7 linked regions of the Bombyx mori genome follow. Each later gene encodes a partner of the first gene's protein in a complex. Links are inferred from orthologs where the notes say so. Each region holds a gene or a part of one and is shown in the gene's direction. Other genes may lie near its edges. The genes, in order: DNA-directed RNA polymerases I, II, and III subunit RPABC5; DNA-directed RNA polymerase I subunit RPA2; DNA-directed RNA polymerases I and III subunit RPAC1; Znrd1; general transcription factor IIH subunit 4; RNA polymerase I-specific transcription initiation factor RRN3; general transcription factor IIE subunit 2.

The links.
Region 2: the proteins of DNA-directed RNA polymerases I, II, and III subunit RPABC5 (region 1) and DNA-directed RNA polymerase I subunit RPA2 are in contact, whole or in part, in a cryo-EM structure (PDB 7OBA), measured with the Homo sapiens proteins. The link is inferred for Bombyx mori from reciprocal best matches to the Homo sapiens genes POLR2L and POLR1B. Residues at the interface, in NP_066951.1 of Homo sapiens: Met1, Ile2, Pro4, Arg6, Cys7, Phe8, Thr9, Cys10, Gly11, Trp18, Tyr21, Leu22, Leu25, Gln26, Glu31, Gly32, Arg42, Tyr43, Cys44, Arg46, Arg47, Met48, Leu50, Ala51, His52, Val53, Asp54, Leu55, Glu57, Lys58; in NP_061887.2 of Homo sapiens: Leu16, Leu19, Thr20, Asp21, Pro22, Tyr24, Gly25, Pro27, Ile157, His160, Glu161, Glu162, Ala163, Phe698, Leu701, Thr702, Arg713, Gln715, Thr716, Pro717, Gln718, Ser719, Leu721, Asp733, Asn734, Pro736, Asn740, Ala741, Ile742, Asn760.
Region 3: DNA-directed RNA polymerases I, II, and III subunit RPABC5 (region 1) and DNA-directed RNA polymerases I and III subunit RPAC1 share a complex: the UniProt entries of both Homo sapiens proteins name them as parts of the pol I pre-initiation complex. The link is inferred for Bombyx mori from reciprocal best matches to the Homo sapiens genes POLR2L and POLR1C.
Region 4: DNA-directed RNA polymerases I, II, and III subunit RPABC5 (region 1) and Znrd1 share a complex: the UniProt entries of both Homo sapiens proteins name them as parts of the pol I pre-initiation complex. The link is inferred for Bombyx mori from reciprocal best matches to the Homo sapiens genes POLR2L and POLR1H.
Region 5: DNA-directed RNA polymerases I, II, and III subunit RPABC5 (region 1) and general transcription factor IIH subunit 4 share a complex: the UniProt entries of both Homo sapiens proteins name them as parts of the TBP-based Pol II pre-initiation complex. The link is inferred for Bombyx mori from reciprocal best matches to the Homo sapiens genes POLR2L and GTF2H4.
Region 6: DNA-directed RNA polymerases I, II, and III subunit RPABC5 (region 1) and RNA polymerase I-specific transcription initiation factor RRN3 share a complex: the UniProt entries of both Homo sapiens proteins name them as parts of the pol I pre-initiation complex. The link is inferred for Bombyx mori from reciprocal best matches to the Homo sapiens genes POLR2L and RRN3.
Region 7: DNA-directed RNA polymerases I, II, and III subunit RPABC5 (region 1) and general transcription factor IIE subunit 2 share a complex: the UniProt entries of both Homo sapiens proteins name them as parts of the TBP-based Pol II pre-initiation complex. The link is inferred for Bombyx mori from reciprocal best matches to the Homo sapiens genes POLR2L and GTF2E2.

Annotation. Positions count from the first base shown.
Region 1 is NC_085133.1:5,485,049-5,488,322, forward strand, and holds DNA-directed RNA polymerases I, II, and III subunit RPABC5, read left to right. Parts: upstream 1-1,187; 5' UTR 1,188-1,464; coding exon 1,465-1,559; intron 1,560-2,599; coding exon 2,600-2,708; 3' UTR 2,709-2,774; downstream 2,775-3,274. UniProt on the Homo sapiens protein: DNA-dependent RNA polymerase catalyzes the transcription of DNA into RNA using the four ribonucleoside triphosphates as substrates.
Region 2 is NC_085132.1:2,350,415-2,354,341, forward strand, and holds the start of DNA-directed RNA polymerase I subunit RPA2, read left to right. Parts: upstream 1-1,127; 5' UTR 1,128-1,239; coding exon 1,240-1,326; intron 1,327-1,636; coding exon 1,637-1,966; intron 1,967-3,137; coding exon 3,138-3,230; intron 3,231-3,927. UniProt on the Homo sapiens protein: Catalytic core component of RNA polymerase I (Pol I), a DNA-dependent RNA polymerase which synthesizes ribosomal RNA precursors using the four ribonucleoside triphosphates as substrates.
Region 3 is NC_085131.1:5,578,812-5,583,082, forward strand, and holds the start of DNA-directed RNA polymerases I and III subunit RPAC1, read left to right. Parts: upstream 1-1,471; 5' UTR 1,472-2,069; coding exon 2,070-2,123; intron 2,124-2,202; coding exon 2,203-2,503; intron 2,504-2,884; coding exon 2,885-3,004; intron 3,005-3,476; coding exon 3,477-3,659; intron 3,660-3,755; coding exon 3,756-3,983; intron 3,984-4,271. UniProt on the Homo sapiens protein: DNA-dependent RNA polymerase catalyzes the transcription of DNA into RNA using the four ribonucleoside triphosphates as substrates.
Region 4 is NC_085112.1:11,752,624-11,755,441, forward strand, and holds Znrd1 (transcription-associated zinc ribbon protein), read left to right. Parts: upstream 1-1,176; 5' UTR 1,177-1,177; coding exon of another isoform or gene 1,178-1,182; coding exon 1,183-1,309; intron 1,310-1,533; coding exon 1,534-1,744; intron 1,745-2,002; coding exon 2,003-2,027; 3' UTR 2,028-2,318; downstream 2,319-2,818. UniProt on the Homo sapiens protein: Core component of RNA polymerase I (Pol I), a DNA-dependent RNA polymerase which synthesizes ribosomal RNA precursors using the four ribonucleoside triphosphates as substrates. Can mediate Pol I proofreading of the nascent RNA transcript.
Region 5 is NC_085125.1:220,016-223,965, reverse strand, and holds the start of general transcription factor IIH subunit 4, read left to right. Parts: upstream 1-1,150; 5' UTR 1,151-1,311; coding exon 1,312-1,460; intron 1,461-1,770; coding exon 1,771-1,875; intron 1,876-3,950. UniProt on the Homo sapiens protein: Component of the general transcription and DNA repair factor IIH (TFIIH) core complex, which is involved in general and transcription-coupled nucleotide excision repair (NER) of damaged DNA and, when complexed to CAK, in RNA transcription by RNA polymerase II.
Region 6 is NC_085116.1:3,278,874-3,283,113, reverse strand, and holds the start of RNA polymerase I-specific transcription initiation factor RRN3, read left to right. Parts: upstream 1-1,440; 5' UTR 1,441-2,008; coding exon 2,009-2,417; intron 2,418-3,341; coding exon 3,342-3,441; intron 3,442-4,240. Other genes in the region: Galpha12 (G protein alpha subunit), read right to left, coding at 1-482. UniProt on the Homo sapiens protein: Required for efficient transcription initiation by RNA polymerase I (Pol I). Required for the formation of the competent pre-initiation complex (PIC).
Region 7 is NC_085118.1:15,267,097-15,271,046, forward strand, and holds the start of general transcription factor IIE subunit 2, read left to right. Parts: upstream 1-1,150; 5' UTR 1,151-1,294; coding exon 1,295-1,356; exon of another isoform or gene 1,357-1,360; intron 1,361-2,088; coding exon 2,089-2,193; intron 2,194-3,017; coding exon 3,018-3,180; intron 3,181-3,637; coding exon 3,638-3,747; intron 3,748-3,950. UniProt on the Homo sapiens protein: Recruits TFIIH to the initiation complex and stimulates the RNA polymerase II C-terminal domain kinase and DNA-dependent ATPase activities of TFIIH. Both TFIIH and TFIIE are required for promoter clearance by RNA polymerase.

The DNA of each region.
Region 1 (3,274 bases):
TGTTTGTTGTATTTCTTTTAATAATCTAATGTCAATTGTCAAAATATCATTTTTATTGATTCGTTCATATAGTACAGGCAAAGGAAATGGGACGCATACAGTAAAATGTTTTGTAATTTAAGCTGAAGCCAATCATCAGTCAAAGGTGAACTGGAACGAATAAACTGAATAATTGTATGAGACCGAATGGAAATTGTACGTTGTAGTTAATTTAGGGTTTCTTCAGACTTTAAAGCTTAAAATAATGGTTTATTAACCGTAAAACATTTGTTATAGTACACAAGTATGAGAAAATGGAGTAAAGCAGCTGGAAATGTATTTAGAACATATTTTTATGCAGCGCAGCATTGCAATGAGTCGATTCCTATATTGAGACGAAGCAGATAACACTGAAGGAGAAAATGAAATATACTTAACAACAACAACATCATAGGACTTGAATTACATGAAATTAAATAAATATCGCAGTAACTTATTATTAAGCAACTGACAGCCTAATGCATATTTTGGAAGAATACGAGAAGCTATGACTGACGTTCGTCTTTCATTTTCCCAAACTTTTGCATTTTCACATATTCCAAACGGTTCACAATTCACTCTCATTACACATGTAGATCTGATGAAATATTAAATTTACAAAATAAAATAATTAACTTTGGACTTTTGAGATTTCACAAATTCGATATGCTCTCCCATGCCTTAATGTACGGAATGAATGGTTGTTTTAACTTGATTTATTTACATTGAAAATTTGCCGATGATCACAAATGAAATGCTACGTACCATTTGACTGTCATCAATACTGATATGTTGCTGCAGGGATAAAGTCATTTTAACCTGAAATAATAGAGAAAACCATACATTTCACATTTTTTAAGAGACTGGCTTAGAAAATTTCTTGATTACTTATTAAAATATTCTAATAATAAGTAGACTGCTCCAAATATGCGTCAATCAATTTCACTCAAACGTTAAAAAGGAGCATATCTTACTCTCTAAAATCCAACCACTAAAAGTCAGTTTGGAAATTTAAAAAATAATTATGTACCATTCAAATGAAATGAACATTCATTCAATGTTTTAAAATGTTTTAAAAATAAAACATTAAAATTTGGTTCTATAGACTACATTCCTTTTGCCGATTGAAATCGACAAACAAAAATATCATATTTTCTTGTGACACTGTCATCTTTAATCATAAGTCATAGACAATACAATATGTAATCTATGACTGTCGTTGCGAGTCTAAAAAGTTTTTATCTCGAAGTAAAATAATATTATTGTGAATTGTAAAGAATAGAATTACAGTGTTTTCTCATTAAATTTAATGATACTTTGTAACTAAAATATCTTCTATTATTATTAAAAGTAAATACGTTTTATAAACCAAATAAATAGTTAAAGCATTGATACTTTATAACCCCAGTGCCTCACCACAACTTTAGGTTGTAGGAAATAAACAAAATGATTATTCCAGTACGATGTTTCACATGCGGGAAGGTTATAGGAAACAAATGGGAAGCTTACTTAGGCCTGCTACAGGCGGATTACACAGAAGGGTACTGTACAATTTAAGTTTTGCAACTGGTTTTTATACTTACCAATATTCTAGAACTTTAAAATGGAAATAACTGACATACATAATATAATGTAGTTATTTGATAAAAATTCAGCAAGAAAGATAAAACAGCTCCTCCCAGAAACAATATTAATGTTCTTATGAATTCAAATGACGGAATATGTAGGTGATTCCTGTTAACTTGGGTTTTTCTTATTTGCCAACTCATACTTACAGCCCACCTATCTTAAAGTGGTTATCATAATCCATAGGTCACAAGGTGGTAATTTTTTTTTTTTTTTTTTTTTTTTTTTTTTCCTACCTAAGCTGATAGCCCTAGCGGCTATTTCAGCGTAGCCTTAACTTTAGTAGGTGAGCTCACGGGGCTCAAACCTGACGATGTTGCTAACACGAACCCTAGCAAGAGTCGTGCTTCGCAGAATCTACCACCGGATCGGAAACGCGACCCACTGAGAAGATCCGGCGAGAAACTCAGTGGGCTGTGTCTGAGAATTAATTTACTCGTCGAGCCCTTCGTCGCAAGCGACGGGTTCGACGAGAACGGTGACCGGTGCTTGAAGTACCTAAAAGCACCGTTAGTGGATCAGGAGGATCCGAGATGACGTGTTTAGGGCGACGTCGACTGCTTTCCATTCTGTCCGCAGGATCGGGAATGAGGTGGTAATGATGGTAGATCTTGACACCAGATTAATCTCTGGACTGTTTTGCAATATCCAGTTTGAGTGTGAGGAAACGGAAGCATATAAGTGATAAATGTAAGATGATATCCTACTAGACAAGTAAGCTATGTAAAAAGTGGCCCGAGTTGATATAATCATTACTACCAACTGCAGCAATGAAATAAGATTGTTAATGCTTGTTAGCTTTGAGTATTCTTATACCTTTTTTAATGTGTTTATAGGCATAAGATTCTCTTGATAGTGATAGATTACTGGTAATCATCGAAGTCAGTTAAGCGTACTGTATACAGTAGATTTACTATGTGAATGTTAATATTTAATTGTATTTTTTTACTTTCAGTGATGCTTTGGATGTCCTTGGATTGAAAAGATACTGCTGCAGAAGAATGTTGCTCGGACACGTGGATCTCATTGAAAAACTCTTGAATTATTCCCCATTAGAAAAATAATGAAATATTTTTTAAAAAACACAATTAAAAATAAAAATCTATAATTGACATAAATTTTTTAAGATATTAGAGTTTTTCTTTCATACCTATATTAATCACCGCACAAAGGCTCTTGATTTACATGCCTCCCATTGTCAATGGAAAGTTTAACACAGTATTTATTTTAACTGGTCAAAGTCTCAAAGCCTAGGACATTGGTTCCTTCTGTCTATTTGTGAAGAAATTCTATCTCTACTGTATATTTAATAGCCAAAATTATTGTAAGCTCTAACATTTGAAAAATGACCTGCTGTTTGCTTCTTTTATAATCTGCATCAATTGAGGTTTGTATACGAGTGCGTGGGTGCAGGTTTTTGTCAGCTTATTAATATTCTGAATCGTTAAAGCCTTGAAACTATATAAACTAAATAAGAGTGATTTTTTCATGTACCAAAAAAAACTAGAGTAGGTTAAGACTAGTTACAAAAATTTTATTGTTATGAGACTTGTTTTAATTGCTTTTTACTTGTTACGGCCAATCCACATTTCATTATTGCTCATTATCAGCTCGTCACACACTTCAATTA
Region 2 (3,927 bases), on another chromosome or scaffold:
GTGAGCAGGAAAAACATTTTTTTTTGTACCACCCTAGTCCTATACATTGCAATCTGCTGGTTATTGGGGTCTATTCCGCCCATACAAAGATTGTAGTACTACATGACAGTCGGCTTCAATGTATCCCCACACCTGGTAGATTCGAAACCATGGTATGTCGAAATAAGCGCCACGCGGTTTTTATCCCTCCACACCATAAGATCCACATCTCCCGAGGTGCATCCCAACACTTGACTAAGATGTCCTTTTCTGTAAGGCGCGCCAATTCGTAGGGTACAAATTGGCTTTGGTCCGCAGTGTCCCCAAACTCACAGTCACACTCACAACCTTCAGTTCTCCAGCCAATGCTGGAGAGTTGTAGAAATTGTCCGTCCATATTGTGTGCTCTCTAAGCTGAAGACCATATAAAAGTTTGAGCACGAGAGCTAGTCTTGTCCCAGAAATTGGATCATTTTGAAGGTGCCGAGGTGTCATAGCCTGCATGTAATTCAAGCCACCACAAATAGCCAGTCAATATATCCAGCCACACTTCATATGTTTTTATCCCAACTGTCGCTGCCTTGTTACGGACGAACTGGTATAACAAGTCAGCCTTTCACATGGTCAAACTCTCATCAATGGCCACATTTTGAGATAAATTATATAATTCTGAATTTTTGATTAAGGCCGTTAATGCCAGATCTCAACAACAGTATTTCATTATGATAGGACTTTTTGGTGGGAACGCGAGGAGCGAAGTTGTGTGAACAGTTTTATTTGATCTATTTAAAATATCTTCAGGTTTAAAGGTGTATATAATAACGGTGGTTTATTAACTGTTTAGTATCTTTGAAAGTGCACAAATGTAGGAAAATGAAACAAAGCCGCTGAACGTAGCTTTTTGGGATCCTCCAATAAATCCACTGAAAAAGTCTTAGTAAAATAATCACCATTTTCCTGACAATATATCTAATCCCATATCATTTCATCTCGTTTCATATCGTTTCATCTCGATTCATCTCGTTTCATCTCGTTTCATCTCATTTCATTTCGTTTTATTTCACTTCATATTATCATTTTTCATATTTAAAACATAAAATATAGGTTGTATGGTATGATACTTTTGCTTTTTCAGTTAGAAAAGTAGAACTACCACTACTTCACTTTGACAGCTACGACATGTGGTCAATTTGTGTTTATTTATAAATAAAACCTACTGTAAATTAAGAATATGAAAGTTAAATACGTAATTAAATCAACATGAATCCAAAAAAACTAGCCCAAAACCCATCATTGGCGTACACAAGCCACCCAGATTATAGAAAACCGCCAAAAATAGCAAATCCGGTAAATAACCTTTACACCTCATTATTATTTTTCTTGTAAGCCCTTAAAAGCAATTTGAAAATCAACGAAGTAATCGCGATGGCGTGTCTTCGAGAAGTTTGTTATTAAAGATTTAAAACTTTTTGTACTAAGCCATAAATAATTAGTTTAATTCGTATACCAGTCGACTTAACCTAATAGGTGTATGGCTCTAATAAAGAATAAAAAAGAAAATTCGTGTACTGATTCATCACACTACTTTATTTTCTTTTCTAATTTCCTTTTTTAACTTGTTTCATTTTAAGAATAATAAATCATACACTCGTTACAGTACCTTCAAAGTCTTGGAGCGCCTCACATAGATTCATTCAATTATATGCTGGACGATGGCCTGAAATTTGCTATAGCTGATCTATTGCCATCGGAATTTGAGTTACCTAGTGGTGAAAAGGTCAAAGTGACAATCGATGAAGCAGCATTCGCTAAACCCAATGTTCCCATGGATACAGTAGGGGTTAAATCTCAAGTGGTCCTCCCAACAGAATGCCGGCAGAGAGCTGCTACATACAAGGGAGAGTTAAAGATCAGAGTCACTCTGTGCATTGACGGAAGGTCTGTCACCATTGAGAGGTCCTTAGGTTATTTACCCATTATGATTAAGGTGAGTTCATTGTGGTAATTTTCCTTTGAAATTTCAATTTAAATAATTTTGCTTTAAATTTGTAATTTTAGCTATCAGTGTATCAACACATTGAGGGGTATAATGAAAAATACTTTAGAGAATTTGAGAAACTTTTTGCTTCATGGTAATTAATGGTATTATAATACTAGTGAAAAAAATATGTCAGCTGTAAACTCATGTTAATGTATATGGAATGCAAATAAATTGGACACTGTTACCTTTAAAGCCTAATTCTGTTATATTAACAAACTAGTTTTACAATTCTGGTCATCAAATAAAGTTTTAGGAGGAAGGTTCGACTGACACTTGAGCATACAAAGATAGTCATCGTGGCCTAAAGGATAAGACGTCCGGTGCATTCGTATATAGCGATGCAACGGTGTTCGAATCCCGCGGGCGGGTACTAATTTTTCAAATGAAATACGTACTTAACAAATGTTCACGATTGACTTCCACGGTGAAGGAATAACATCGTGTAATAAAAATCAAACCCGCAAAATTATAATTTGCGTAATAACTGGTGGTAGGACCTCTTGTGAGTCCGCGCGGGTAGGTACCACTGCCCTGCCTATTTCTGCCGTGAAGCAGTAATGCGTTTCGGTTTGAAGGGTGGGGCAGCCGTTGTAACTATACTGAGACCCTTAGAACTTATATCTCAAGGTGGGTGGCGCATTTACGTTGTGGATGTCTATGGGCTCCAGTAACCACTTAACACCAGGTGGGCTGTGAGCTCGTCCAATCATCTAAGCAATAAAAAAAAAAAAAAAAAAAAATTCTAATAATCACTAAATGATATGTTAGCAATTCATTGCCTAAAGCACTTTTAGAGCAATTTATATGTTAATCATTCACAGCCTGGGATCCTGATACTATGATTTCTATGAAATTATTATTTGAAAAGTTGAAATAAGGAAAACAGACCCTATAATTTAAACATTAAGAATCTTTATATTTGTTAATAGTGTAATACAGAGGATAGTTTGGTGGAGTCATAATGAAATTATTATGATGACTATCAATTTAGAAAGAAAACTTTTGTTATTCTAACCTTCTTTTTTATTACCCTTGTAACAGAGGAGCTTATGGTCACCTGAAAGTGGGGTGTAGTTCTGAATATTGTTTAAAAGTAATGCTTTATTTAAATTTGTAGTCTAAAATGTGTCATTTGGCTGATTTATCACCTGAAGAACTGATTGAGAAAAATGAACATGCTGATGAATGGGGTGGATATTTTGTAATAAAGGTTTGTAACTACCGTCATTTCAAAGAAACTATATTTTCAGTAAAATTATTGCACAAAATGTTAATAATTAATTAAGTATGTGTTAGTGATTCTGAAAAGAATCAGCGCAGGACCAATCATTTTTTAGAGGCTTGGAGGAGGCCTATGTCCCACAGTGGACATCTCTGGGCTGATAGAAGACGAAAAAGAATATTCTAGAAACCCACTGTATGAATAGATTCCCAATGCTGTTACTGCAGTCAAAACCACTGTAATGAGAGTGTCTGACTGAGGAGAAGCTATCGATTAACATGCAGCTTTTGCTGAAATAATAATTCTTCATCTCAAAGCTGACAGTTCATGATAATATTCAGTAGTCATTAGAGAAGATTGTTACTGCTATTGTAAGTCTTAATAAAATTTCAGTAATAATATGAAAGCCTTTCAAATGGCAACAGATGACTATCTCACAAACAATATATAGTTTACTAGCGACCCGCCCTCACTTCGCTTCGGAAACTGTAATTTATTATTGATTTCTCCACTATTTAATGGATGTTACTATATATATAAACCTTCCTCTTCAATCACTCTATCTATTAAAAAAAAACACATCAAAATCCGTTGTGTAGTTTTAAAGATTTAAGCATACATAGGGACAGACAGATATAGGGACAGACAGATATAGGGACAGACAGATATAGGGACAGAGAAAGCG
Region 3 (4,271 bases), on another chromosome or scaffold:
CGTTTCTTAAGTAAATAAAAAAATAATAATAATAATGATTTCTTTTTGTTTCCTTTTGTTGGAGTTTACTCCTTTAGAATCGATTTACATATATAGGCCCGGGGTATGAAAATTATGGGGACCAAAATCGTACTAGCATGTCACACGAAATGCGTTATGCGCCTGATTGGCTCCTGATTGCGTGATGCGTGCGCGCGCCAATCAGGAGCCAACGCGCGGCCGCGTTATCGCAGGTGACGCCGGGCTGCTGCGCCGGCAGTCCGCCACAAAGCCTCGTACTGATCGCGCGTTTCTCTCATTATTGTATTTTCATATATTTGTTAGTCGTTTGTTTTGTGTCTCGTTAATTTGTTAATAATCTGTAGTGTATCGTGTTGTCGTAATATAGAACTATTTCTCGTATTGTTTCGTTTAATTTTTTATATCCAGTAAACTCCAGTCGTGCGTCGGAGCGGACACACACACTTTTTTCATTTCTTTCTGTTTCGATTTACATAAAACAGACACGACTTCACTTACTGTAACAAAAATTAGGATTGTATGGTCTTTGATCCTTTTGCCCAGCGAGTTGTCAATTCAAACAAGTAAAAACCTCTATTTATTTTCCAATACGGTACGGTACCGTACCGTAAAATGGGGCGATTAGGGACAAATTCCAACTTTATGAGCAATTTTAAGGTAGTTGTTGATGTATATAATGCTATATCAGGATCAAAATGATTGAGTCTTGGGGGCATCTTTGTTGTCTAATTTAAAATTATGCAACTAGCATTCCAGTTTAAGCAAAAAATGCAAAAATAGGTGTAATCTCTATTTACCCGAAAATTGCGGTTAATTGGGATGTAATGAGAAATTTGCTAGGGTTGGCACTATTTTTATTTTTATATATAGTTTTAATTTATTTATTTATTTAGTTGCACCAACAAAGTGATCATCAATAAAAAAAAATGAAAAACTGACAAAAGTACATGGCAGACATCACCTCAATTATAGGTGCAATCGACAGTGCTGATATTTCTATCTGGGTTAAGAGATTAGGTGTGTCGGTTATTCCATGGATTAATCAGATGAATACCCCCACTCTGAACAAATATTAAATATTTTATTATGTATTACTTAGACATTTTTGTCCACCTTGAGATTTCATTGATCTTGTTACATGTCTCTGCAAAATCGACTTACTTATATTAAATTGCTTATCTATTTCAAATAAAGACTTATTCCCAATTTCGCTTCGAATAAACCAGATATTTACCAACAAATTCAAAAAATATTGTTATAACTACATAGACAACCCTACAAACCTGTACCTATTTATACTTAGGTCGTTTCCATTTCACGTATTCTCATCCCAATTGACCCCTTTTTCGTTGTTATTTGTACCTAAGACGTCCCCAATAACCCCAAAAACAACAGATTTTTACATGTATTTTTATTTAATCAAATACATTAAAAGCAATAACAACTGAGACTTACCTTTAATATATATGCTGGTTCAAACACTAAATAACGTTTATAAATCATAGTCGTCTTCTATTATTATCAAATAAATAAAAGAGAGCAAAGTTTCTAGCACTAAAATAATGACCACCACAGGAAGTTAATTTGAAACGCGATTTTTTATAAGTTAGCAGCTATTATCATGCATATTCAGAGTTGTTTTGTGAACTTTCAACATTCTACTATTAAACTACAAAAAATGGAAGATTTTGCAACGAATATAAAACTTATATTGAGCGTCGAAAGATTTTCCCGGTTTTTTCCCGATTCGCCTGTCAATCCCTAATCGCCCCATTTTACCGGTACCGTACCTATGTACCTACATAAGTACAAACTTACATTACTTACTACATAGTCAAAGTTTAAATTACCTACTAAAAATTACTTAAAATCACTACTTAAGTGTATAATCTATGATCACTACCTTACGTAAAATCATCGAAATATTTAATTTTGTCAATTATATCTGTATAAAAATATGCGACAAACTTTATATACAGTAAACGTTACTGTATACCTGTGAAATAAGATAAAACCTTATTTACATTAATTAGTAAAATATTGCAAAAATGCCTAAATTCGATGAAAAACCCCGAGTTTTTCTTGAAGAATTCCGTGTTAAGGTTCTCCTTTAAATTGCAAGACTTATTTACAACGATAAAAATGCACATGATCATAACCTAATAATTTTTGCCCGTACAGAATGCACCCGAAGATTACGGATTAGACGATGAAACATGGGACTTCAAAAAGTTTGTGAAGAAGTTTAAGATAGTTGTAGTACGAATGGACAATTTCGAAATGGAATTTGACTTGATTGGGATCCAGCCAGCATTTGCGAACGCATTCCGGAGACTCATGTTAAGTGAAGTTCCTAGTATGGCTATTGAAAAAGTAATGATCAAGAACAACACTTCTATAATACAGGATGAAGTTTTAGCACACAGATTAGGATTGATTCCTCTCAAAGCTGATCCAAGATTGTTTGAATATAAATCTGAAGGTTTGTGTACAAATTATTACAAAGCCGAGACCATATGTGGGCATTCGTTTTGGAAGATGATTGTTTTCTGTGAAATTGGTTGTCTAATTATTTTTTATTTATCAATTACGTAAACTAGTACACTAATAAAACCACAAATATTCATTTTTCTAGTATCCTAAAATTGACAATTTAGAGCTGGAATGCAAGATGTTATTAAATACTCACTTTTATACCTCAATAAACATTTATATCTCATAATCAGTAAAGTTTTCACAGCCTAAAGGATAAGATGCCTGGTCCATTTTTATTATTGTAACTATGATGAAATAAAAAAAGTTAACAGAAAATAAAAGAATTGTTTGAGCAGCTCTTGTAAATAATTTGAAATTTTATTTTCAGAAGACACGGAAGGAACAGAATTCAACACTTTAGAATTTTCACTAAAAGTAAAATGTACCAATAGCAAGTCACAACCAAAAGATTCATATAGAGCTGAAGATTTGTATGAAAATCATAGTAGTGAGTTTTCTGTATATCAATATAATAATGTGTAACAAACAGCCTATTAATGTTTTTAATATAACAGTAGATCGCAGATCAGCATATGGCCCTGGTATTAAGCTTGCTGCAGTGCATAGATATAGGTGATTCACTCACATTAAGATATGGGATTGAAGTTTCCATTCCATAGCAAAACAGCTATCCTTACAAACTGGATTCCTTTGCAGTAGAAATGGACAAGATAAATTATGACTACCAATACCAAACTTATAGAATGTTACTGCCATTTTCTGGTAAATTTTTTAGCCACCTGTAACAACACCATGGTAAGATATAGAGTGGTATTGTTGTATGCTGATAGGACAGAACACAGAGCTGATTTTTTGAACTATGGACTAATCTATGAAATTTATATTTATAGTTTTTTTATATAATGCTAGATGATTTTGTTATTCTTAATACTTAGTTAATTACAAATATGTTTATACAGTTTATTCATCCCATATGAAGTGGCATCCAATTGGCAACCAAGCTACAGTTTATAAAGAAGCTGATGTGGGTCCTGTACATAAGGATATTCTTATATCAAAAATGAGACCTGGCCATGAAATAGACCTTCAAATGATTGCCGTGAAGGGCATAGGAAAGGATCATGCAAAATTTTCACCTGTTGGTTAGTCCCTTCTTATGAATATTTTATAAAATGAGATAAGCTTATTTTAATTATTAAAAAAAATGGTTTAACTAACATATCCATTTTATTCTACAGCAACAGCTACATACAGATTGCTGCCAGAGGTAACACTGACTCGTGAAGTTTGTGACAGTGAAGCCACACTGTTGCAGAGTTGTTTCTCACCAGGTGTTATTGGTATTGACTCTAAAAACCGAGCATATGTGAAAGATGCAAGATATGATGCATGTAGTCGTAATGTTTATAGATATGACACAATCAAAGATTCAGCAATCCTAAGTAGAGTTCGGGATCATTTCATATGTAAGTAGCCATATGTAAATTAATGAAATCATAAAAATGCCACAAATAATTACATGTGCAACAGTTTTTTTGCTATCAATGCTGGTTACCTCAAGGGGGTCTAGCTTCACCTAACGTGTAGGTAAGCTTACAGGCTCAGTCTGGCGAATTTGCTAACACTAGCCCTAGCAAGGGCAGTGCTTCTCAGAATCTACCACTGGATCGGAATCGCGACCCAGTGAGATGATCTGGTGAGAAACTAAGTGGGCTGTGTCTAAGGTTTAATTTACAAACCCAAAAATCTAAAAA
Region 4 (2,818 bases), on another chromosome or scaffold:
CCGGTTTGAAATCACAACGATTCTAAAGAAGTTTTCACTTCAAAAGACAGGCTGTCAGTTTGAGGGAAAAATGTCATGATATAAAAAAATGTGTTTTACGTTTTTAAAAGGTTCAAAGATAAAAATCAATTGATTGTTAATGTATACGATTTTAAGGTGCGTGTGGAATAAATAAATGCTTCCTATACTGCAGTTTGAGTTTAATCCGCAACGACGACAGTTGTCAACATATTTCCTAAATACCTACTAATCTATATATGAGAAACAATGAAGATGACTGATTTTAGAGATCCACTATTGAAGAATTGCGTTTATAATTTCGTTTATAGAGTGGAGTTAGTAATAGTGTAAAGAGCAAGAGCTAAAAATGAGCTGTAGTAGACTGTAGTGGTTATATCTACAGCTACTGGGAGCGTTCTGTAGTTCTGTAGGCATTGTCACAGACTGTGGTAGAGAGACAAAAAGTCCACCAAAACTAAAACGTAGAAGTGCAATCTTCATTATTTTAATTACAGCACGTCATTTCGTATCCTCCCGATCCACTAACGGTGCTTTTAAGCACTTCAAATCACCAGTCATCGTTCTCGTCGAAACCGTCGCTTGCGACAAAGGGCTCGGCGAGTAAATTAACCCACAGACACAACCCACTGAGTTTCTGGCCGGATCTTCTCAGTAGGTCGCGATTCCGATCCGCTGGTAGATTCAGAGAAGCACTGCTCTTGCTAGGGTTAGCGTTAGCAACGTCATCAGGTTTGAGTCCCGTGAGCTCACCTACTTGTTAGGTGACGCTAACATAGCCTCTCAAGGCTATGAGCTTAGGTAAGAAAAAGAAACAGTTACTGAACTTCATCTTTTCAAATTTTAGTTACAAGTGATCTAATACTATCAGTATGGGCTATGTTTCCTTTGTCAATTGTCAAACAGTTAAAAAAAATTGTACGTAAGTAATGAATTTATCATTATAGTAAAAAAAAAATAGGTTTTTGTATAGCAAATACTTAGGGTATGTATACACTAAAACTGTCTAAAACCCTTCACAAAAATATATAGTATGCTTCATATTGGTTTAAAAATATATTTTGGTTATGTTTAGTACTAATAGATAAAGATTTAAAATAACCTAATATTCTAAACAAAAATACACAACCCTTTTAGTGATAATTGTGTTTACTTTTAGAAATAATGTCCACTGAAAGCCCGTTATCAACTAGTACAGCGTTTTGTGCTCGCTGTGGGTCCATATTACCCTTGCTACAAGAGTTTGGCTCCGTGAAATGCTACACTTGTAAAGCACATTATGAGGCTGATAGTAAGTATATAGTTGCCAATGAAAAAATTACTTTCATATAAACGGGATACGATTTTTCAGCGTTATGCTTTTGTATAATTTTCGAATATTCACTATTAAATTTATAATAAATAAAAAAACTTTAGTGATACTTATGAAATCCAGAAAGAACCTGTTGTATTTGTTTTCGAAATATAAAATAAAAACTTAAAAAAATGTTTTATTCAGAAATTCTTTTTTTACAGATTATAGTAAAATGAAATTTCAATACACAATACATTTCAATACTATATCTGTGATCACAAATGAGAATATACTACATACTGATGGTCCTGAGGGTCCAGTTGTGGAGAGAAAATGCGCTAAATGCGGTTACGACAGAATGTCATATGCAACTCTACAGTTACGATCGGCCGATGAAGGACAAACAGTTTTCTACACATGTATAAAGTGCAAGTATGTAAATTACAATATTTATTTGTATTTCGATGAGCAAGTCATCAATATCTGTACTTGTATTAAATAAAATTGGACCCTACCACTAGCCTAAGACAGGAAAATAATTGCAACTTGTGGCCAAATTTCCTTGGTAATATAAAACTGGACATAATAATGATCTTGTAAGCAACTACTATCTCAAAAATAAAATTATTTCCTAATTTAAAAAAGAACACATCGTACAAGATAATATCGTAAAGTATTATTTATTTTCAGATACAAGGAAACTGAAAACTCCTAAAGGCTGCTTTATACTAGTTTTAAGGTTGTCAAAGGAAAACTCGGCAATAGAATCATTGTATCAGAATCACTTTATGCAAAAATCAGTTTTACTGATTGTTTTAAATTAGGTAAATTTAATAAGGATTAAAATTAATCACCATGTAACTGGTGCGTAATTTTAATTCCATTTCTTGGAATGATAACTTTTAAACTGTAAATTCTATACTGATTAATCTTAAAAACCATGTTTTAAAAATTACATGTAATAGAATCAAATCTGAATAATTGAAATTATAAACATTTGTCCAAATGTTTTTTTTATGCTGAGAAATACATTTCTATTTTTAAATAATAAGTTCAATGAAAGTTTCTTTTTCAAAAGGTTTTATTTCCATGTTTCTAAAACCATAGCAATATTGAAGAGTTTTATGCAACAAGTTTATTTGGATCTTAGTGTAGAAGATTTACATTTGACAATTTTTGATAAACTTATAATACACTACTCAGAAATAATTCTATGTAGAACAAGCTCGGCCATATTAGTTTCCTACAGTAAGCATAATATGCCTGTATAACAAAAGTACACACTGCTAATCTTCCATAGTAGAAGTCACTGGATTCTGTAATACATACATATTTATTAAGGAAAATTTTTACCTGCCTCCTAAGGCCTTATCCCTTGATACTAACACCAGCACAATCGCTTGATACTTGTAAACCGGCATCGTATCCTATAGACCACAACAACATCAAGTGGGCTGTGAGCTAGCGTAACCATACAATGAAGAAAAATAATCGTAGTATTGGCAA
Region 5 (3,950 bases), on another chromosome or scaffold:
GTTTTATATAATTATCGGATCATATTAAAAAAAATACATCAATAAACAACTTTAAATCCATACGCATGAATAATCTACTGATTTAATAGGTAAAGGTAATAAATATTTCGATATATATATCTAACTTTTTCTCTAACATTTTTACGATGTTTCCCCGGCGCTTTGACGTATCCTTATTCAAACGAGATCTGAAGACAATTCTTAACACTTAGCAACTGCTTGGGCTCAGGCATTGCTGACTGCTGATATCTATGAGCGACGGTGATTACTTACCATCTGGTGGCCGTATATTCGCATGCCTACGATTACAACAATAAAAAATAATATCATTAACAACGCACTTTTTTACTTTTTGTTAGGAAGAAAGTTTTACTGGTGGCCCGTTCAGTTTCACCAGGACAGTGCGTGCGCGCATTCAGCCGGGTCTTTTTAACTGAGGTGGTGGAGGTAATAGAATGACTTTCGAAACACTATTTGGTTTGTATTATTGTCCTCTATCGACCGTACTTTCTGCACTTCTCGATGACTATGCAATCACAAAAATTACGGTTTTTACATTGTATCAAAACACGAGGTATAATTTAATTATATTAGGGCGCTCATTATTGATCTGACAAAACATTTCAGAACTAATAAGTGCCTAGGCCTAGCTCCACGACGCCCTTCACGAGGTCAAGGATCGTAGCAAATGGAGAACAATCGTATAAGAGAGATTGATGCAGCGGGGGAGTCACGACCCTCCTTTCAATGAGGAGAACGACTTGAGGAGGAGGAAGGGCCGAGGTATCATTTTAAAATCATATCAAGGCTTCGATCACAAAAAAATATACGCATTCGTAGTTTAAATATATATCTTTGAAGTAGGCGATCTGTAATTCAAATGCCAAATCTAAATACCAAATCTGTACCAAAGAGTTGAAAAATATGGTGGAAAAGGTGTTATCGGTTTTATGACTAAACAAAAATATTAAGCAACATTATTGATATTTTGACTTCATGTCTCGAGATACGTCGTGATGTATATACTGTCCGTAACCAGTAACCACTACGATCCGTAAGCTCATGTGGTGCGAGTTTCTGTAATTCGAACTAAATGGTAAGCCCTATGGTTATTTTACTTTTTCAATATGGCAATCAGATCTTAGAGGAAAGTAATCTGTCAACTGTCACGAAGTCATGAAATGTGGTTGTCAAATTTCAATTTGTTTTGGGTTGTTTTGAATTTGGATTACTTTGTTATTATAATCTGAAACTTATGAATTAAAGAGATTTAAGAACTAATTATTAGGTAGACAGCAGACAGCGAGAACGATGTCAGAGTCTTCTAAATCGAAGTCTTTAAATTTGAATCCTTCGCCTACACTACAATGCAAAGACCTTCACGAATATCTTAAGTCGCGGTCTCCGCAGTTTCTAGAGACTCTTTACAATTACCCCACTATATGTCTCGCTGTATATCGGTAAGTCGCTATTCATAACCTTACCTGTAAGGCAGTAAGACTGCTAGAGGTAATGCACGGAACGCATCCAAATATTCCTAAAACTGAGCTATTTCATACATAATAACTACTAATGACTCTCGTGTATATATGTCATACGCTCAAAAGCACAAAAAAATCAGTTGTTATCATTCACCAATGAATATACAATAAGAGGTACAGAGTGATTTACTGTTCAACTATTTAATTAATTTGTCTATGACTAGCTAAAAGATAATACTAGTAATCATGTTTTAATTGAATAAAACTATTGTATAATACTAAATTCCAGCGAATTACCAGAGCTAGCACGTCACTTCGTAATCCGCTTGCTGTTCGTTGAGCAGCCAGTCCCACAGGCAGTTGTCACATCCTGGGTCTCGCAAACATATGCCAAGTATGTACTTGTTATCACAATACACAGTAAAAGGTCTTAAAGTAAATGTTGATAACATCTATAGTTTGACTCAAACATGGCTAAACATGGTCCTACAAAATTATATGGATGTGTAGAAGAGTTGCGAGAATTAGAGCACTGTGGTATGTGAAGAATGTCAACCTTCACAAAATCTAAATTAAAAACAGACATGTATGTATCCAGTGGTTTTAGGCCTCGCAAGCATCCATCATCCTCCTCATCGAACTTGTTGATTATGACGAAGAGTTAGCCAAAGTAAGCCATAGACACAGCCTGCTGAATTTCTCACCGCATCTTCTCAGTAGGTCGCGACTCCCATCTGGTGATAGATTCTGTGAAGCACAGCTCTTCCTAGGGCCAATGCTACCAAATTGTCTGGATTTGAGCCCCTGAGTTCACTTAGCTGTCTGAGCGTAGCTGGAATATCCCAAACTAGCAGGGAATAGATAGGGAAAAAAATAACATTCTAATCGGTTACCCAACAGCAGTGCCATATTTAACTCAAATGTCAAAAGAGATTGTAGTGCTGATTTTCCTTTTCATAAGATATGGATTTTTTTGTGCAAAATGACAGTAACCAACCCTTGAAGCTGTTGAAGTTGTTGAATTAAAGAAGTGAATGCTGCCTTCCCCTACAAATTTGGGAGATAAAAAATAAATAATCATTCTGTAATGCTTTTTAACAATCTCTTGAAATTTGAGTTAAATGTGGCACTGCTGTTGGGTGACTGATTGTCAATGGTACATTGATATATGAATGTGATCCCATGGAGATATGTCTCTATACTACAACTAACCCCCTTCCAAACACCTTTTTTCAATAATGTGGCACTAAGTGTATCTTTTTCCTGGTAGACTCCATACTATTTTCATATTATCCAAATTTAACCTCAGCTACTTAATTGTATGTGGCAAAAAGTACTGTTTACTGCCACTTTTTGCAGCTTCTTTCCTATCACAAAAAGAATTAAAATCTGAGATCAAACCACACTTAATGATGAAGCAGTCAACATTGGTCAGTTTTTCATTTACAGCTTAGCTTATAATTATAAAAAAAAACAAAGGAATATGGAACCAATTTAAAAAAAAAATTAGATATGCTATTCATTGATATATTGAGTAGGACCACTGAAAACGATATCAGGAAAAAATAAACTATGTTTCGGATTCCTATAATTTTTTCCAAGAATGTAGACATTGGAAAATATCAACATAATATTATTGTTTTATTTCAAGGTCAAATCATAACATATTCGCAAATTATAGAAGACAGGGAGTGAATAAGTTTATCCTTTGATGGAAATAAAGCAATTCTGCAATCATTATGTAGGCTTAGGATAGAATACTCGTACTCTCAAATCGGATACGGTAGTAGCTATGCCCCCCCTCGTAGGCCCCTCAGGCCGACTCGCGGCGTTCGATGATGACGAAAAAGCAGAGCTGCTGGCCGATACATTGCAAACCCAGTGCACGCCCAGCACTCAATCCGTGGACCCTGTTCATGTAGAATTAGTACAGTGAGGTAGAACGCAGAGCCTCCTTGCCACCCTTGGATGCGTTACCACCCGTCACCCCGAAGTTAAAGACTTGATCAAAGACCTACGTCCTCGCAAAGCTCCCGGTTCCGACGGTATATCTAACCGCGTTATTAAACTTCTACCCATCCAACTCATCGTGATGTTGGCATCTATCTTCAATGCCGCTATGGCTAACTGTATCTTTCCCGCGGTGTGGAAAGAAGCGAACGTTATCGGCATACACAAACCCGGTAAACCAAAAAATAATCCGACGAGTTACCGCCCGATTAGCCTCCTCATGTCTCTGGGCAAACTGTATGAGCGTCTGCTCTACAAACGCCTCAGAGACTTCGTCTCATCAAAGGGCATTCTCATCGATGAACAATTCGGATTCCGTGCGAATCACTCATGCGTACAACAGGTGCACCGCCTCACGGAGCACATTCTCGTGGGACTTAACCGACCAAAACCGATCTACACGGGAGCCCTCTTCTTCGACGTCGCAAAAGCGTTCGACAAAGTCTGGCACAACGGTTT
Region 6 (4,240 bases), on another chromosome or scaffold:
CTGTCATATGCCCTTTTTATGGCTCTGTCTAACCACAATGAGTGTATGTGCGGCGCGTAGTGCATGAAGAGTCGGCTGTCGAGCGACGCCGTGCTGTTGAAGTGCAGTGCTTGCTGGCCGATATCCAAATTCCGCGGATTCTCCCATGGTATCGCGAGTTTGTCTCTTGCGTCCACTAACACCTGTATGCCTTTGACAATGTTCTGATATATCACATGCTGGTACTCCCGCACGAGTTCCGGTTCGAATTTCACTTTGTGTATGATTCTCATCTGTTTGAGGAATGTTGACTTTCCGCTTTCACCCGCGCCGAGTAACAACAGCTTCACCTGCCGCCGCAAAGTTTGCTTATCTTTCTCGAGTATTCTGTCGATCTCTTTACTCCTATATCGTTGCTCTATCTCCTCCGGCGATAGCTTCAGACGCAGCCAACAAGTCAGAGCCTCTGTACAGCAGGTACATGACCACAAATCGTTGGCCATTTTGCATGATTATCAAGACAATTAAAAAAGGAAACAAATCAAATCACACTTTATTTGTACAGTTCATTATTTTAAAGTTTTCCAACACAACACACACACTGATAATGATAATACAAAATGAAGATTAAATCCGGAATTCCGAAATACACACGCATTCCACCCCTCCCAATTTCATTGAGAAATGAAAAGTCACAGATAAACGACAAACGTCAAAAATTCAAGTAGGTAGGTACCGTACATGCAGTCTAACATCAAATCACATTCGTAATCTGTAATGCAGACACAACATTCATCTCTACTGTATTCTCTTATATTCTTATTTATATATGTTGTATCTCTATTGAATTCAATAAGTATTGACAGACAAAATAAAGCGGAGTTTATATGAATAATCTAATATTTATAATACTATCAAAAAAATTCGATCGTTCGTACGTTCAATAGATTTGTAACTTTTTAACTCAGTGTTTCTACTTAGGGGAAAATAATAGACAAAGTTTAATTAATCTAAAATAGGAGTCGATTGGCCAGATCGGAGTAATTTTTTACCATGTGTATTATCTACGGAGTTTTTATACGAGTTTCATTCCTAAATTGGGAAAATAAAACTTTTCATTGCAATAATACAATTTTTTTTAAAACATTAAATCGATAAATCAGCTCAAGCTCAAACTGATGACATTAATTATTGAAGTCAGAACTAACTTATTTATAACATTAAAACTATACACAGAAAATAAGTGCTGTCGATAGTTTAATGACAAAACGCAAAAGGGCTCTCATCGAAATAGACAATAAATCTAAAAATAAAAAGTTTTAATAGAGACCAATACCTCAACTAATATGTGCAGTATTTAGACACTAACATGGTGGCAGCGCTTAATACGATTTTATTAGGCGTCTAATTCTTCAAGCCACAAAATTAATTATGCTTTCTTTCGAAAAAGACTTGGTTCGAGTCTTTCAAAAGAAAAGACTAACGTATAGTCATTTTATTCTTTGCCTTTTGAAGATAGAAAAATCAAACCAAAATGACAAATTTCGGCGTGTCAAATAGAAAGTCAAAAAGTTCCGCGCACGTTGCGCACGTGTTCATAAAAGGAACTGAGGTGAAGAATTAGGTTTAGGTGGTTTAATTTGAACGTACGTGTACATTTTCCGTTAATTCATCATAAATATTAATCAATAAAACATCAGCAACATTGTACACAATGTAAAACTTAGAGTTACCGTTAAGCTATGTCGAGAGAAGGTTATAGCCCAGAAAAGAAAGAAAGTGACAACAAGGCTGTTTTAGAGCGATTACAGTCTTATTTGAAAGACAAGAAAAACACTGACGTTTCCGACACGAGCGCCGGGTACAGCAAACCAAGTACGAGCTACGATCCGAACACAAATACTGTCCCGAACATAGAAGATAGTAGTAATATTTTACGCGAAGTACTGAACTACAAAAAAGCAGAATTGCTTCGGCAACCAGACGTAACAGAGTTTTTAAAGGCAATCACGAAAGACTTGAAGAAGTAATGGCGGTAGCGGCTAGGAAAAGCGTCGCGTCCTTGATGCAAAAAACTCTGGATCGCCAAGCGGCTTTAGCTCGTACTAGATTGAAATTCTCCGAAAAACAAATAGAACAGATACTTCTTAATTATGCTAAAACAGGAAACATTGGACCTTACTCGGAATTAGTCAGAGTTTTGAGAGATTACCCATTAAATGATGAGAATTTTCGGATTATTCTCGAAGATTGTCTCTCTTGCGTTCTGATTATGGGACAGGATTTCAAGCAGTTTGTAGAAGCAGTGTGCAATGTTGAGTGGGCTAGTAGGTGTGAAAAGTTAGTCAACCTTTTCAGCACCTTCATCATTAGCCTAGTCACTGCACATATTTACCATTGTCCGCAAGTGATGAGCTGTCTGGTTAAGGTTTTTAAAGGTAAGTTAGCAACACACAGTGGTAGTTCTAGTATACCTGGACAATGATAGCCACTTACGATTCATTGGTTTGTAGGAATTATGAAGATGTCATAAATTATGCTATTACATTATATTATTCTATAATTGTAATATTAAATATAAAATTGTTAAAAGACAAAGAAAATAGAAATGAACATATAAAATATATATTTATATGAACGAATAATCAGTAAATACTAATAAAAACATTGTGAAATATTGTGAAAGAATTTAACACATAAAAGTCAATACAAGTACTCTTTCAGAAATCTAGTAACATTTAAGATTTGAGATTTTCTTTTATTTCATATTCTTACTAATATAACTACTGAAATATTGTATTGTATAAAACTGAATTATATTATTATCATGCTATTAGTCCGTTACTTTTATTATAATGCTTAGATAGGTGGATGAGCTCACAGCCCACCTGGTGTTGAGTGTTCACTGAAGCTTATAGACATACAGAATGTTAATGCTACCACCCACCCTGAAACCTGAGTTCTAAGACTTAGTTTTTACAGTACATCAACTACCCCACCCTTCAATCAAAATACATTACTGCTTTACGACAGGAATAGGCAGGCAAGTGGTGGTACCTACCCACGCATGCTTACAAGTTTCTCTACTGATAGTAATTAAGGAAATTAAAACTTTTACGGGTTTGATTTTTATTACACAACTTCACTGTGGAAGTCATTTGTGAACATTAGTTAAGTAAGTAGTATTCCATCAGAAAAATTGTTACCAGCCTGCAGGATTCCAAACCAGCAGTCACAAGTTGAAGTATCCAAGATAATATTTAAAAAAAAATATTGCCTTTTTAGGCAGACTTACTTAATCTAATAATAATTTTCATAACATTAGTTAGAGATATATTTGATGATGACTATGATATTTTTAGCTAATGAAGAAAACTGGGATGACACTCCACCAACAGAGAAATTGAATAGCTGGTCTAACATTCATACAATCATAGGACAAATTATCGCAATAATGCCGATGTAAGTATTTTACGTAACTTTCTTTAAGGTTATGCTTCATATTACATTGTTTGTGGATGTTTATATCTATCTAACAATTTAAGTAATGTCAGGACTATTTTCTAATGAAGCGCCCTATATGTGTCACGATACATAAAAATTTATAAAATATTTACAGAAATCTTCAACAATTTGAATTAGAGTGGTTTGGGAATTTAATTATTTGAGTATGTGTATTGATTTAGCCCCAGTATTTACTCTTAAGTGAGTGGATATAGGCTAATATATCAAAATGCTTCATGAAGCATATTGATGATATATTTGACAACCTACAAAGGTTGGATGAGATATTTAATTGGTCAGATCTCATTATACTAAAACAGTTCCCTTTTTGGGAACTGTCTTCTGCAGCTAACTAAAAATGTTTGAATACCACAAGATCATCACATAGATGTTTAAAAAGTTTATGGGACCCACCATACTACTTACAAAACATTAGCTGATGAGATCATATTTGAGCCTTCTGTGACACACTCAAAAATTTTAATATAATACTTAATAATAAATGGGTCAATGAGAGACTGAAATTGTTCTCTTAAAATAACCAGGTGCACAGAGTTCTATCTGGCTTTATAAATGACTCTGGAAACTATGTTGTGTGATTTTGCACCTACATCAATCAATACATAGGCGGCACTGAAAATTTCGGGAATTAACGAAGTGACACAACATTACTATTTAAAAATGTATTTATTGCTTTTCGAAGTATTCTCCGCGAAATTTGACACATTTTTCCATACGATGGAACCAATCATTGAAG
Region 7 (3,950 bases), on another chromosome or scaffold:
CTTTGTAGCCGGTTGGATTGCTCGATTCGGAGTACCTGCTGTCATCACTACCGACCAGGGACGACAGTTCGAGTCGGACCTTTTCAGACGCCTTACTAATTTATGTGGTACTAAACGTATACGCACTACTAGTTACCACCCTTGTGCCAATGGGCTCGTGGAGCGCATGCATAGACAATTAAAGGCCTCTCTGATGTGTTATGATGATTCGTGGTTGAATGCATTACCTTTGGTCTTATTAGGAATGCGTTCGGCTTTTAAAGAAGATCTACAAGCAACAGTAGCGGAATTGCTTTACGGAGAAACATTAACGCTTCCAGGGGAACTGTTAGTACCTCCCGGTCCTTCTGGCTTCGAGGACCCGACGGATTTTGTCGTAAAGTTAAGACAGCGTATGTCTAAATTGCGTCCCACTCCATGTTCCTCACACACTAAACCATCACCTTTCATATTTAAAAATCTTTCCACCGCCTCTCATGTAATGCTCAGGGAGGATTCGGTTAGACGTTCAATGCAACCACCTTACTCTGGTCCTCATAGAGTTATATCTAGAGCCGAGGACGGAAAAACGTGGTCGATTGATGTAAAAGGGAAACAGGTGACGGTCAGTGTCGACAGAATTAAGCCAGCTTTCGTCGAGCATTCTTTAGTAGATCTCGTTCCAGCACCAGCACCGCGGGTTTCTGTGCCTCAACCAGCGCAACCGGATGCTACTAATGTCCCTTCATGTCCACTCGTGCCTTCGGCACCTCTAACTGCTACTCCTACGCATACACCTCAATATACCACCCGATCAGGTCGCAGAGTCCACTTCTCCAAACCTTTCGACCTATGATATTTTTTTCTCTTTTTCTGCGGATTCTCCTTCTCCGTAGGGGGGTGGTGTGGCGTTTTATTATGCGTAAGCCGGAACGCACGAGATGTGGGAAAAAGAATATAGTCTGTGACAATACCTTTTTACCGCCAAAATATGAAAAACAAAAATAATTTATAATGTGATAATAACCAATTTAATGTAATTACTTTATGCCGCTACAACAATAAAATTTATATTGTTCCAACTGTGGTGTTAATTACATAAAACACAACCAGGCGAAATAAAGAAGGGACTCTATATGAACTCCCTCACGTCATTTGTCAAAGATGGTCATATGTCACATGTCAAATTGCTCAAACCGGATTTTAAAGAAACAGGATTTGGAAGTGGAAAATAGACTACATTACAACAGCAATTAAACAAAATACTAATACAATTGATACGTACTTTTAGTGATTGTGTTTAAAAGACGAAAATATGGACCCGGCGCTCTTACGGGAACGGGAAGCGTTTAAAAAGAAGGCACTTGCGACCCCGAGGTCTGTTACATTATTTTTAACTAAACTATTCGCTAGTCCACAACAATGATTGGAGACATACTGGCATCCATCGCACACTTTCTCTGTCACTCACGTAGCCCATACAATTACTATCAATTCACTTCCTTGTGGCAATATTCATTACTGAGTCATTATATAAAGTTATGAATGGAAATATGTGTTTCGAAATACTAAATGAGTAGAAATGTGAACAAATCACTTGTGCAGAGAAAAGTAGAAGATTTAAATGTTAATAAGATATAATATCTTTCCTAATTTAATAGCAGCCAATATTCTAGATAAATATGATCAAGGCACAGGCCCTATTTTTTTAAAGATTATATTGACTGGCATGCCCTAGGTAAATTAGAATACAATGGAAAATGTTTCATTTAATTTAAAGTAATGAATTTTTTCAAAGAATCTGATCAAGCTGACAGCCCACATTATGTTAAGTGATTACCTGAGCCCCTAGATATAATGTGAATGTCACCAATTGTTTTGAAACATGATTTTTATCTAAAATGCTACTTCATCTTATAATCCATTTATGAAAACGTGTTAGAAATGTTTTGCCGTGGAAAAAATTATACAGGTCTATGGTATTTGAATACCAGCATAGTCACACTTGATAAAAGTACACTTTACATGAGCTATAGTTCAACCCATCGAAAGGTTACTGTCAAATTAGAACGAAACAAAATTAATAAAGTATTATTCTTTTCTCTTCAGCATTGAAAAAAAGAAAAGGGATGACTCTGAATTCAAAGATGACAGCAAAAAGAAATCGAAATCATCCAGCTCAGTCAGCTCCGGACCAAAGCTTGATGCTAGTAAGTAAGTAAAGGCTAGGGCAACATAATTAATAATTTAAAATATTCTGTTATCAAAATAACTATTGAATTTACATAGTTACTGTGTTCCGCATAAACAAATATGTGCATCATTTACTAATGCTATTTTCATTAATAAACTAGAAATCACATTTAGTTTTATCTTTTGACTAGGTCAAATTACTATATCAGCAATATCTATTCATGACATCAGTACCATTGCTTCCCATAATTTATTATGCTTTATAGGTAATTTTAATCGCCAATTCTATTAAATAATACTAATAAACTTTTTATAGCAATATCAACTTTTGAATAAAAAAAATTAGAAAAAGCCTTTGGAAAAAAAATTATGAAAAATAAAAAACACAGGATTTATTTGGAATTCGAAAATTTATATTATGATAGCCTTGATACAGGCTATATGTAGCGAGCTTTTTATTGTTAAAAAAATAATTTATCATTTAGTGTATTTGCTAAAATCTTATAAAATATATAAAAAAGAATTGATCATATTTAGTGCTACAATGGATAAAATATTGAGATAGAGCATATAGATACCAGTTCTTTCTCTGTTTGACAACTCTCCCTTTTATTTAATTTAGTAGCTATTAAAGAGCTTTTGTGTTATCAGAAAACAGTTCTAGATTTTTTTTTATATCACTAAGTAACGAAACAAAAGGGAAAATTTAATACTAAATTGAATCTAAACCTTGAGGTGTCAATGATTATGGTCGAATTTAGATCAATAAGCAAACACTAATAATATTATTTTTTGTTATATTATAATTATTGGTTAAATCTGTGATTGATCATCATCCTTTTCAGTTACAAGACTATGACTGGCAGCTCGTCCTATCGCTTTGGTGTGCTAGCGCGTATTGTACGGCATATGAGAGCAAGGCATCAAGATGGAGATGACCATCCACTGTCTTTAGATGAGATTTTAGATGAGACAAATCAATTGGATGTCGGAAATAAAATAAAACAGGTATCTTTTAATAAGTATTGAAATAATAAATAAATTACCTCAATAATAATTACAACAACACACACATTTTCTTATAGCTGATGATAAATGCAATTTTTATTTTATTACTAAGTCTAATGTGCTCACGAACCACCTGGTGTTAAGCAGTTACTGGAGTATATAGACATGAGTTCTAAATCTCACTTTTATATTGCTTATGCTTCAGTAAAGAAATAGGCAGTGTGGTTATATCTACCCCTGCATGCTCACAAGACACCCTATTAACACTAACTGTATCTACATAATGTATAAAAATAATCATGAGTAATTACTTTAGGAAAATGATGGCATTAATTACAGTATTATTATACCCCAGCACACAAGTACCACAACACCCAAATTGATTAAAATGCTTTTTATAAATAATATTCTATTTTAATTGATTTCTCTTTTATAACCTGCTGTAAACATTTTCAAGTGGCTACAAACAGAAGCCCTACAGAGCAATCCTAAAATCGAATGCTCTCCGGATGGAAAGTTTAACTTCAAACCGGTTTATAAAATAAAAGATAAAAAATCTTTACTGAGGTACGTATAATATTTTCATTATTTACATAATTCAAATGTAGTAACTAGAAAACGATTTAAAGATCATCACCTGACAAAAATCATATAAATAAAAAGTACTTGTTCAATTTGCATTTCATTTATTGTAGGCAGCGGTTTGGCTCTGCCCCTGGCATTGCTGAAGTCCATGGGCGACGGTAACTACTCACCATCAGGTGGGCCGT